Nothobranchius furzeri: one gene and its partner. The protein of the gene in region 1 purifies or fractionates together with the protein of each later gene. This does not show direct contact. Links are inferred from orthologs where the notes say so. Each region holds a gene or a part of one and is shown on either strand. Other genes may lie near its edges.

Region 1 (4,578 bases):
TATTTATAAAAACGTTCAAGTTCTCTGACTTTATTTCTTAACCAACAATGGACTTCTTCCCAAAACCTATTATTAACAGGACAGCTGAAAATAAGTGTTCTGTTCCTTCAGGGCTTTCATGACAGAATTCACATGGGTCAAGCTCAAAACCAAATCTACTCCTCAGTGTCACTGCTGATGGATAGTAGTTGTTAAGAATCTTAAGTTACATTTAATTTAACCTTTAAAAGCAGACTGAAAACACGTCTGTTCTCGCTGGCGTTTGGACATTGAAGTTAGGATTGCGTGGGCAGCTGCACTTTGAATGTGTCTGGATCTGATTTTGGAAAAAGGTCTGATATGGACTGCGAACTTGTACTCGGCATTTCTTATTGTATTTTAAATGGCTATATGTCTGTTTTCTTGTTGTGATTTTTATTGGTGTACAGCGCTTGCTTTGTCTGTTTTGGGCATGTGAAAGCGCTTTATAAATAAAGTTGATTTGATTTGATTTGATAACATTTACTGTGGGTGCTATTGGCCATTTAAAAACATTTTTTTAATGTTTTTCTACAATTCTTGGATTTCCTAACATTTGTAGTTTAATCTTTCATCATGATAGATATATCATTTAAAGGGTCAGTTAAAAAACTTATTTTCACATTTTCTGTTTGTAATTTTTAATACTCCTGTTGTTAAATGAGGACGTTTGGTTTGGACATTAGAGAAGCAAATTGTGGTTTTTTTTTATCTGTTATTGGTATTGACTTACATATTTTCTTATAACCCTTAAGGAAACATTGGTGATTGTTAAATTTGTATTTAAAATCTTGTAGTTGTAATATTTCACCATTTTTATCCATAACATGTATCATGTACAAAGACGCTTCCTTGGTCAAACCACTGCTGGTTGAACGAAGACTTTTTGTTTGGAACGATTACTTGATTATTCCACAAGGTGGTGCAATGCAGGGTAGAATAATGGGTAAATGATAGCATCTTCTAAAAATCCAAAACGTGTTTATGAAATTTCAAATAATTTAAATGGAAATTAGTGATTTCAAAGTCACATTTAAAAAGAAAGTTTAACCCACCAAACATCTTAAAGACATTTTTTGGAACATTGACTCTGGCTTAATTAGAAAATCTTTCAGCCACTTTATTTTAAATGTTCCCAACATTGCTTAAAAATCCACTGATTTCAAGCCTCCATCATCAAATTCTTTAACCAACTGAGATCTTTTGATATAGTGGGTTTTATTTCTCCAAATAAATTTGTATATAATAGAGTTAATATTATTCACAGTTTTTGGGGCGATGTAAAGAGATAGATGTGGATAAATCAGTTGGGAAATACCCACAATTCATTTCACCCAAAAATGGAAAGATCTCTGCTAAGCCACTGATTCAAAGTTTTTTGTATTTGATCACTTTTTCCTTTCATATTCATTTCTTCTGTTTTCGTCTGCGATCTTAACTCGCAGATAGTTAATTTCTTTTTAAACGGAAATTGACATTATTTCTTTATCTATACATTCATACAGTTAAAGTAATTCACATTTTTTTGTGTTCAGATGAAGACCTGATGCTTTGGGAACTTTTTATGTCGATGATCACTACCTACAATCCAGCGCGGAACCATTTATCTGTTATTTTCGCGACTCGGATTTCTATAAGGTGACACACTTCCGGTTCGGAGCTCTCGTTGCACACGTGAGATCAACAAAACTCAAACTAAAGCAGAACAAAAGCGCGTATTTACTCGTTTACTGAGGCTAATTTCTTACTGGACATTTCCGGTGGTGCGTGAGTTTCCGCGGAGACGAACTGAGCGGATTTTGTGTTTTATTTGGACTTTAATCCGCTTCGGGCGAGTTAAACACGCAGCACAGGCTCGGAAACTGGAGGAGAAAAGGTCCCGGTTCTCACTCGGGAACGGAGGAAAACAGCTGACTTAAAGGAGAAGAGGTAAAACACATCCCTGTGGTTTAATTTGAAACCAGATCAATTATAGGTACATTACGATGTTGTCACGTGTCATTCCAAAATATGAACGATAAATGAGCCGCACTTGTGTAGCGCCTCTCAGAGTAAGGACTCCAAAGCGCTTTACACTACAGTGTATCATTCATCCGTTCACACACACTGGTGGTGATGAGCTACGATGTAGCCACAGCTGCCCTGGGGCACACTGACAGAGGCGAGGCTGCCGAGCACAGGCGACACCGGTCCCTCCGACCACCACCAGCAGGCAGCGTGGGTTAAGTGTCTTGCCCAAGGACACAACAGCAGAATTCTCTGTCCGGAGCCTGGATCGAACCTGCAACCTTCTGAATACTGGACAACCTGTTGAGCTACTGCTGCCCCAGTTTGGTGATTCAGAGAGAGCAGGCTATAAAACCTTCTGAAATGTCCTCAGACTGACTGGGATGGCACCAGAAACCACCTAATGATAAAGGTTACCAGCTTCTTTGTTTCACCAACGTGCCGCACGCATCCATAGATTCTAGATAAATAATGCTGCCGTTCTCAGCACACGTCCTTATTAATCACAACTTTCTGTAGCTTGTTGGACTGTCTTGAGTATGACTAGTTGTGCCTATTTTTGTGGCACAACAACACCTTATTGTTAATGTTGAGGACATGCCTAAACATGCTTGGCTCGGAGAGAATTAAAATGGCTCAGGCTCAGCTGACCAACAACCTTTGAGTCGTAATCAGTTGTTTGTTGTTGTTGTTCTCTGTGTTTCCGCTACACAGGCTCAACTTCCGCTTCTTTTGTTCTCCAGTAAAAGCTGCAGGGGTAGGGAACCCTGGCCCTGGAGAGCTGCCGTCCAGCACGTTTAGAGGTTTCAGTACTTCAACACAGTTCATTCACATGTTCAGCAGCTCGTTAGGCTCTACAGGTGCGCACTAAACACCTGCTGATTAAAATCAAGTGTGTTGTTGCTTGGAAGCCTCTAAACATGCTGGACAGCAGCTTGCCAGAACCAGGGTGCCTTACCCCTCCGATAAATGCACAGTAATTAACTTTTCGATATTTTATCATCAATGTCACTATCCAGTAAAAGGCAAAAGGAACACTTACAAGCAGCATATAGGGTAACATCTGTTATCCAGTGTTGGGAACGTTACTTTAATAAAGTAATTAGTTATAGTTACTGATTACTTTGTCAAAAAAGCAACTCAGTTACTGAGTTACGAGATTATAAAAGTAACTAATTACCAAGAAAAATAACTATTTTGTTACTTTTTCCATTAAAGAATGCAAAAAAATGGGTTAATTGAACTTTGTAAGTGCGTTACCGACACCTCTCTCTCCCTGGCTGCAGCTGAAGTGTGGCGGTCAGAAAGCCTCACGCTGCTGCTCAACGTTCGACAAGCACATAGTAACGCACAACCTTCCGTCCCCAGTAACGGTAACGGCGTTACAACAGTGGGAAAAGTAATTAATTAGATTATTCCGTTACCTAAAAAAGAACGCCGTTAGTAACGCCGTTATATTAAACGCCGTTACTCCCATCACTGCTGTTATCACCCATTCCTATGACTTCAGGGCTTGTTTTTGTCAACATCCAACAGCTTTTCCCCTGTGGTCACAAGACTGCTCTCCTCCCAGTATCTTCCTTTTGTGTTGGGCCCAACCACAATACTCGCACTGCGTGCGCCCTGCGGTCTTCAGCAAAGTGCACTTGGAGAAAGTGTGCAGTAGGGTTCGAGTGTGTAGCACACAAGTGTGCAAATTATTGCCGAACTGAGACAGGGAGCATTGCGTCATCGATCGCAACGCATGCCAGGCTGCTGGTCGCTGTGAAACTTTTTTCAAAAACCTTCATTAAATTTCAAACAAATAAAGTAATTATTTGAAATAAATTTTACTTCATTGCTGCTTTGTCAAAAATATTCAGACCTTCATGCTTATTTAGTCCTAAAATGAACTAATTTCATTAGAAAATACATATTTTCATAAAAGGAACTTGAGCCGTTCCTCCTGCAGCAATGACTTGTGGATAATACCCTTACCCGAGGTCCGCATTGCTGCAGACTTGGGTGAAGTGCAGATTAAGGGTGCAATGGGGGCGTGGTCAATTTCCGCACTTGAGAATTGGGACACCCTTCGCACCCCTGGCCAGGAGCGCACAATTGCAGTTCGCAAGGGTGATTATTGAGATTGGGCGTGTCCGATGGTTCGCTGAACGTGACAGTAGCGGCAGCTGCAGGAGCGGGTTGTCGGCTCAAAGCGTCCAGCGTCTCTCGACTCTCCGAGGGCGTTCAGGCTCCTTGTGTGGGAAAATGGTCGCTAAAGCGTCTAGTTTCAGCCTTCTCTTGTACCCAGCCGCTCTGGTGAGCTCTTTAAGTCGTTGTGGTCGTCTATAAGCCTCAAACGCATCAGGAGGAAAATGTTGGGAACACAGCCATGGATCTTTGGGAAGTTGTGTCCGTCCACAGGCATCTTCCCACTGCTTTCTCCTCTTGTTGCCAGTGGGAAAGCTGTAAACTCACATCACTCCCCTTGTTGCCCTCTGACTGGAAATTACATCCAAAAGCAGCACAATGCGGCATTTTACTTAATTATTAATACGGCGAGCACGTAAACAA
Region 2 (4,491 bases), on another chromosome or scaffold:
GATCACAAAATTAAAATCAGTACACTTATACTGTTAGCTGATTACATCATCAACCCACATAGCATCCTGCTTCTCTGGGTGTGAGTAGAGCCTCCTAGTATCCCGCCACACACGCCCCCATTGAACACCCAGAAAGTCCTGTAGGGGTCTTGATCAGGTGACCTGGGTTAGTTGCTGAAGCTGGGTGGTGTGGTTCCCGCCCAGTAAGTTCTGTTCTGGTGTGGATGAGAAGAACCCAATGGGATTGGATGGTTTCCAGGTTGGCAGAGAGAGGAAGCCCTCTAAGAGGAGCCTGGGCCCCCAACTGAGGTTGATCTCCCAGGATGTGTGCAAGCTTGAGACCAGCTCCCTTCACATGCTGAATGTGAAAGAGCAAAGGGGGAGGCAGCGTCACGCTTCGGCACCAAAACACTGGTGGTAAAAACAAAAAGCAGCTCCTTGGCAATCTTTAGCTGCAATGCTGGCCACCGAGGGAAGTTGGACAGACCTGTGTGAAGAATCGAGCATTGTCTCCACGCATGGCGGGACCACATCCTAGGTTGTCAAGGTCCTCGTGGTCTGGAAGATGAGGTCAGCTTCTTCGGCCAGTGCGAGTTAATCCCTTTGTTGCAGCAGGTGGGGAATTAGCAAGCGCCGTGTGCACCTGAAGCGGGAGCTCACAAAGGAAGAGGTGGACAAAGAGGAATTCTCCATCGTCAGAACCAAGGAGGTAAAGCATGAGATCCATGAGATCCAGGGCGGTGCTGTCACCCAAACCGGTGAGAGAAAGAAGTTTCTCCGTTCATTCTGCCTCCTGAAAGTGTGTAGCGCCTTAGCAACAGCTGCTTGAGGGTGACATAATTCCCCTGGGCTGGAAGGTTCTGAAGCAGACTCATGACTCGACGCGTGGACCGATCCAGTGCAGCAACAACACCGTTGTTGTCGTCTGACAATCCACGCAGAGCAAACTGTGCTTCAATGTGGGAAAATCATGACGCAGGATCATGTAGCCAAAAGTCCGGGAGCTTAACAGCAACTGCAGACAAGAGCGCCAGAACCGGTGTAGCTTCAGCAGCAGTGGGCGGGGCTGGAACTGGGTGGGTCGTGTCGTCAGTCATTGTCATGATCGTCCACATTGAGGTCACCAATGGAAGAGTCAAGGATGACAGAGGTAAGTTTCTCCCACACGATTTACTCACTCCAACTGATCCCAGAACAAAGCATCAGATCAATTATACAGTTAGCTGATTACATCATCAACCACGTAGCGCCTCCTAGTGACCGCCCCACAGTCATCCTTTAACAAATGTATCTAATACTACAACAGAACTGTGCATCTGAAAAAAACTACAGTTATTTGAATCTGCCTGCTTTGATCAAACAATGATTTCTGTTCCTATAAACTTCAATAATACTCATCTTTATTAATTAAATGAAAATGTTGCTCGAGTATACAGGTCACAAACTAATGTATGAGAAGATTCTGGGCCCTTTTGACTGATGACCATGGGGAGTCATTTGTATCCAACAAACAATAACTGTGTTTGTTATTTTTACCATTGTCTAAGTTTTTGTTTTATTTAAACCAAGCTAAACCAACCTACTGACTGATGGTCATTTTTGAGAGTGTATTAGGAACAGAGTTAGTGTGTGACTGGTCTACCTCTCCTCAAAGAACCAGAAAATTTGATCCGCTAGCTGGAAGTGATTTAGACAAGAAATGAGCTTTCTACTTTCCTTAAACAATAACAAATACAATGAATGCAGTATTAAAAAAGGTGTATCCAGATCTAAGAGTGTTTTAAAACAGAATACCGGTAATAGAAAACGGCAGATCTGAAGGTTGTGTTTCATTCATGTTTTATTTTAACAGCAAACAATTAAGTACAGCTGTAAAGATAGAACAAGAAATACGTATCCCGATTAATTTTACTCAAATATAAATTATCTAGTTGTAAATCAAATGAAAAAAATAAACTATTTATAAAACCCAATTCCAAATCTAAATGTATTTATTCATAGAACCCAAATAAACAAGACAAATAAATACTGTACCAACCAATTTGTACACACCTAAAAATAATAATAATTCAAAGTGTTTCTCGGATTTTATCTCTGTAAACCAACAGCCTGAATGTTTTAGATGTTTCCCTGGATTAAACCTGAGTCTAGTAACCAGTTTTAGATGGAGTCTAATTAACCACATATGAAATGTAGGTAAAATATAAAATAGTATTGACGATTTTTGTGAATGATATTGACAAGAAATATTTGCAATTATCTAAAATATGTTTTTGTCACTCACCTGTTTGATTTATCTCTATTCTGGAACCATTGGTCACTTTGTCGAGTAGTCTGACAAAGCTGGCCTCGAAATCTGGACAAAACAAATCAAACAAAAAGTAAAACTAGTCAACAAAAACACTTTATCCCTAAGTAACTCAGAAAACTTATTTTATTAAACACGCAGCTCAAACTCGAGGTGAATTTTCAATCTTTAAAGATTCAAGTTACTATAAACAAAACAAACTCAATTAAGAGGTGGTCAAACATATTTGCGCAGTTTCTAAGCTTGACAACGACATAAACTGTTACAACAATGTGACAAAATGTTTATCTCGTATTTGCCCTCGCATTTTCACCCATACATGGCAATTTTCCTACATCTAACTCCCAGCTTCTAAACACACTCCCAACTGCGTAACAGCTAGCCCGTTAGCAATCTAGCTAACTGCGACGCCACATGCGGAGCGAAGCTGCGACTCACCGCGAAGCCCCGGGTTGTCGTCCTTAGACCGGATGTTTTTTATTTTCACATGCTTCCCGCTGAGAGTCGATAAAACCAGCCGCTGTCTGAAAAAATTACAGCCGTCATAAGAGAGTCCGTTGCTTGCCATGTTGTTGTTTATGCCTCGCGCAACATCCACGTGTGGCAGAAAGGCGTTGGAGGGAGGCGCGAATACAGCAAACGGCGAGGGTCAAAAATGTCTTCTTGTTGTTACCGGTTGTTACCTACCCAGTGTAGAAAAAGAGGTTGTTACCTCACCAACCAGTTATCACGAAAGACATAAAACCCCGAATATAACAAAGGAAAATGTATTTGTACGATATTAAGGAGTAATTCAATAACACAAACATACATAGCATGTATTTGTTTATAAAGAGTAATTTATTGAGAGGTGCTGGCCCGCAAACTTTAAAAGAAGCCTCTTAAATTCTTGGGAATTTATATTAGGCTATTTCTCTGCTGACGGCCAACCCATCATGTGTCCAAAGTCTCAGAAAAATTGGCATTGTTAGAGTGTATGTAATTTTATAAACGATTCAAAGAAATCGAATGATGACAATGTTGGGGGGGGGGGGGGGGGTGTCACAGAAGTCTACAATAATTTATTTTTTTGTTGAACAACATCTGTAAGTACAGATAAAATGCATTATTAGGCCTGCAGCTTATTGTCCTCTTGAAATGAAGTGTTTACGTCTTTCCTCTGGAGAGGTCAAACCGACTTACTATTACTGCATTACATGTTACCCAATGGAAGAGAAAAACAGGGACTTGGGAAAAATCTAAATCTCTAAGGGGTAAGAACATTAAAATCGTTTTCATATTTTGCAAGATAATCAGAAATTATACTGTGATTAAAACTTTTCACAAGTGAGTAAAATACTCTAATTGTGACATATAAATGGCTACTAGGTTTTTAAAATGTCTATAATATTAATTTATTAATAATAATATTTTAATAATATTAAAATTTTGGGTGAATGTTTTATTATCGTGACTACAATAATGCAAACAATGTACTTTCCTAAATTAAACCTATCTAGGCGCTAGATGGCAGCACCCTCAAGCCAGACCATAAATTAAACTTCTGTGGTCGGGGCCTTCTTCTCTCCTTTTCTTAAAGGATCAGTAAAAACCTAAACAAATATCTAACATTTCTCCAGCACACGATCACAGGATAACTAAACTAGTCTGTGTTTTTTTTTAATCTGCAACATTAAGTCACATTTTATGATGTTTTCTAGTCTTCTAGTGTTTTCTAGAAGGCAGTGCAGGTTGAACAAATATAAGTGGTTCATGGCATCAGCTACACAGAGGCTCTAAAAGGCACAGAATGGAAAGAATGAGGCTAGAAAAGTTCATACAGAGTCGCCATCAGATTTTGTGCAGACACAAGAAACTCACACAGGATTGACAGAGAAGATGATTTTGTTTATGGCGTATGTCATAAACTGTACTGCTCAAGTGAAACGAACAGAGAAGATAAAAATAATTGAAAGGAGCAGAGAGATTTTTTGGCATTAAAGACATTTTTTCATGGGAACAATAAAATACTTGGGGAGGAAGGGAAAGCGGGAGGTCCTGGTGACAGGACAGCATGATTATATTACAATGGAATGCCAGAAGTTTGATTGCAAATGGACAGGAATTTAAGGGATTTATCAATAAATGCAAAATAAAACCAGAAATAATATGCATTCAGGAGACATGGCTAAAACCTAATTTAG

Evidence for each region.
Region 2: the proteins of bms1 (region 1) and rcl1 purify together in Homo sapiens (co-immunoprecipitation; 4 studies listed by BioGRID and IntAct, with this or other methods). This does not show direct contact. The link is inferred for Nothobranchius furzeri from reciprocal best matches to the Homo sapiens genes BMS1 and RCL1.

The regions. Positions count from the first base shown.
Region 1 is NC_091756.1:4,735,400-4,739,977, reverse strand, and holds the start of bms1 (ribosome biogenesis protein BMS1 homolog), read left to right. Parts: upstream 1-1,724; 5' UTR 1,725-1,947; intron 1,948-4,578. UniProt on the Homo sapiens protein: GTPase required for the synthesis of 40S ribosomal subunits and for processing of pre-ribosomal RNA (pre-rRNA) at sites A0, A1, and A2.
Region 2 is NC_091746.1:49,083,867-49,088,357, forward strand, and holds the start of rcl1 (RNA 3'-terminal phosphate cyclase-like protein), read right to left. Parts: upstream 2,946-4,491; 5' UTR 2,877-2,945; coding exon 2,747-2,876; intron 2,357-2,746; coding exon 2,285-2,356; intron 1-2,284. UniProt on the Homo sapiens protein: As part of the small subunit (SSU) processome, it plays a role in 40S-ribosomal-subunit biogenesis in the early pre-rRNA processing steps at sites A0, A1 and A2 that are required for proper maturation of the 18S RNA.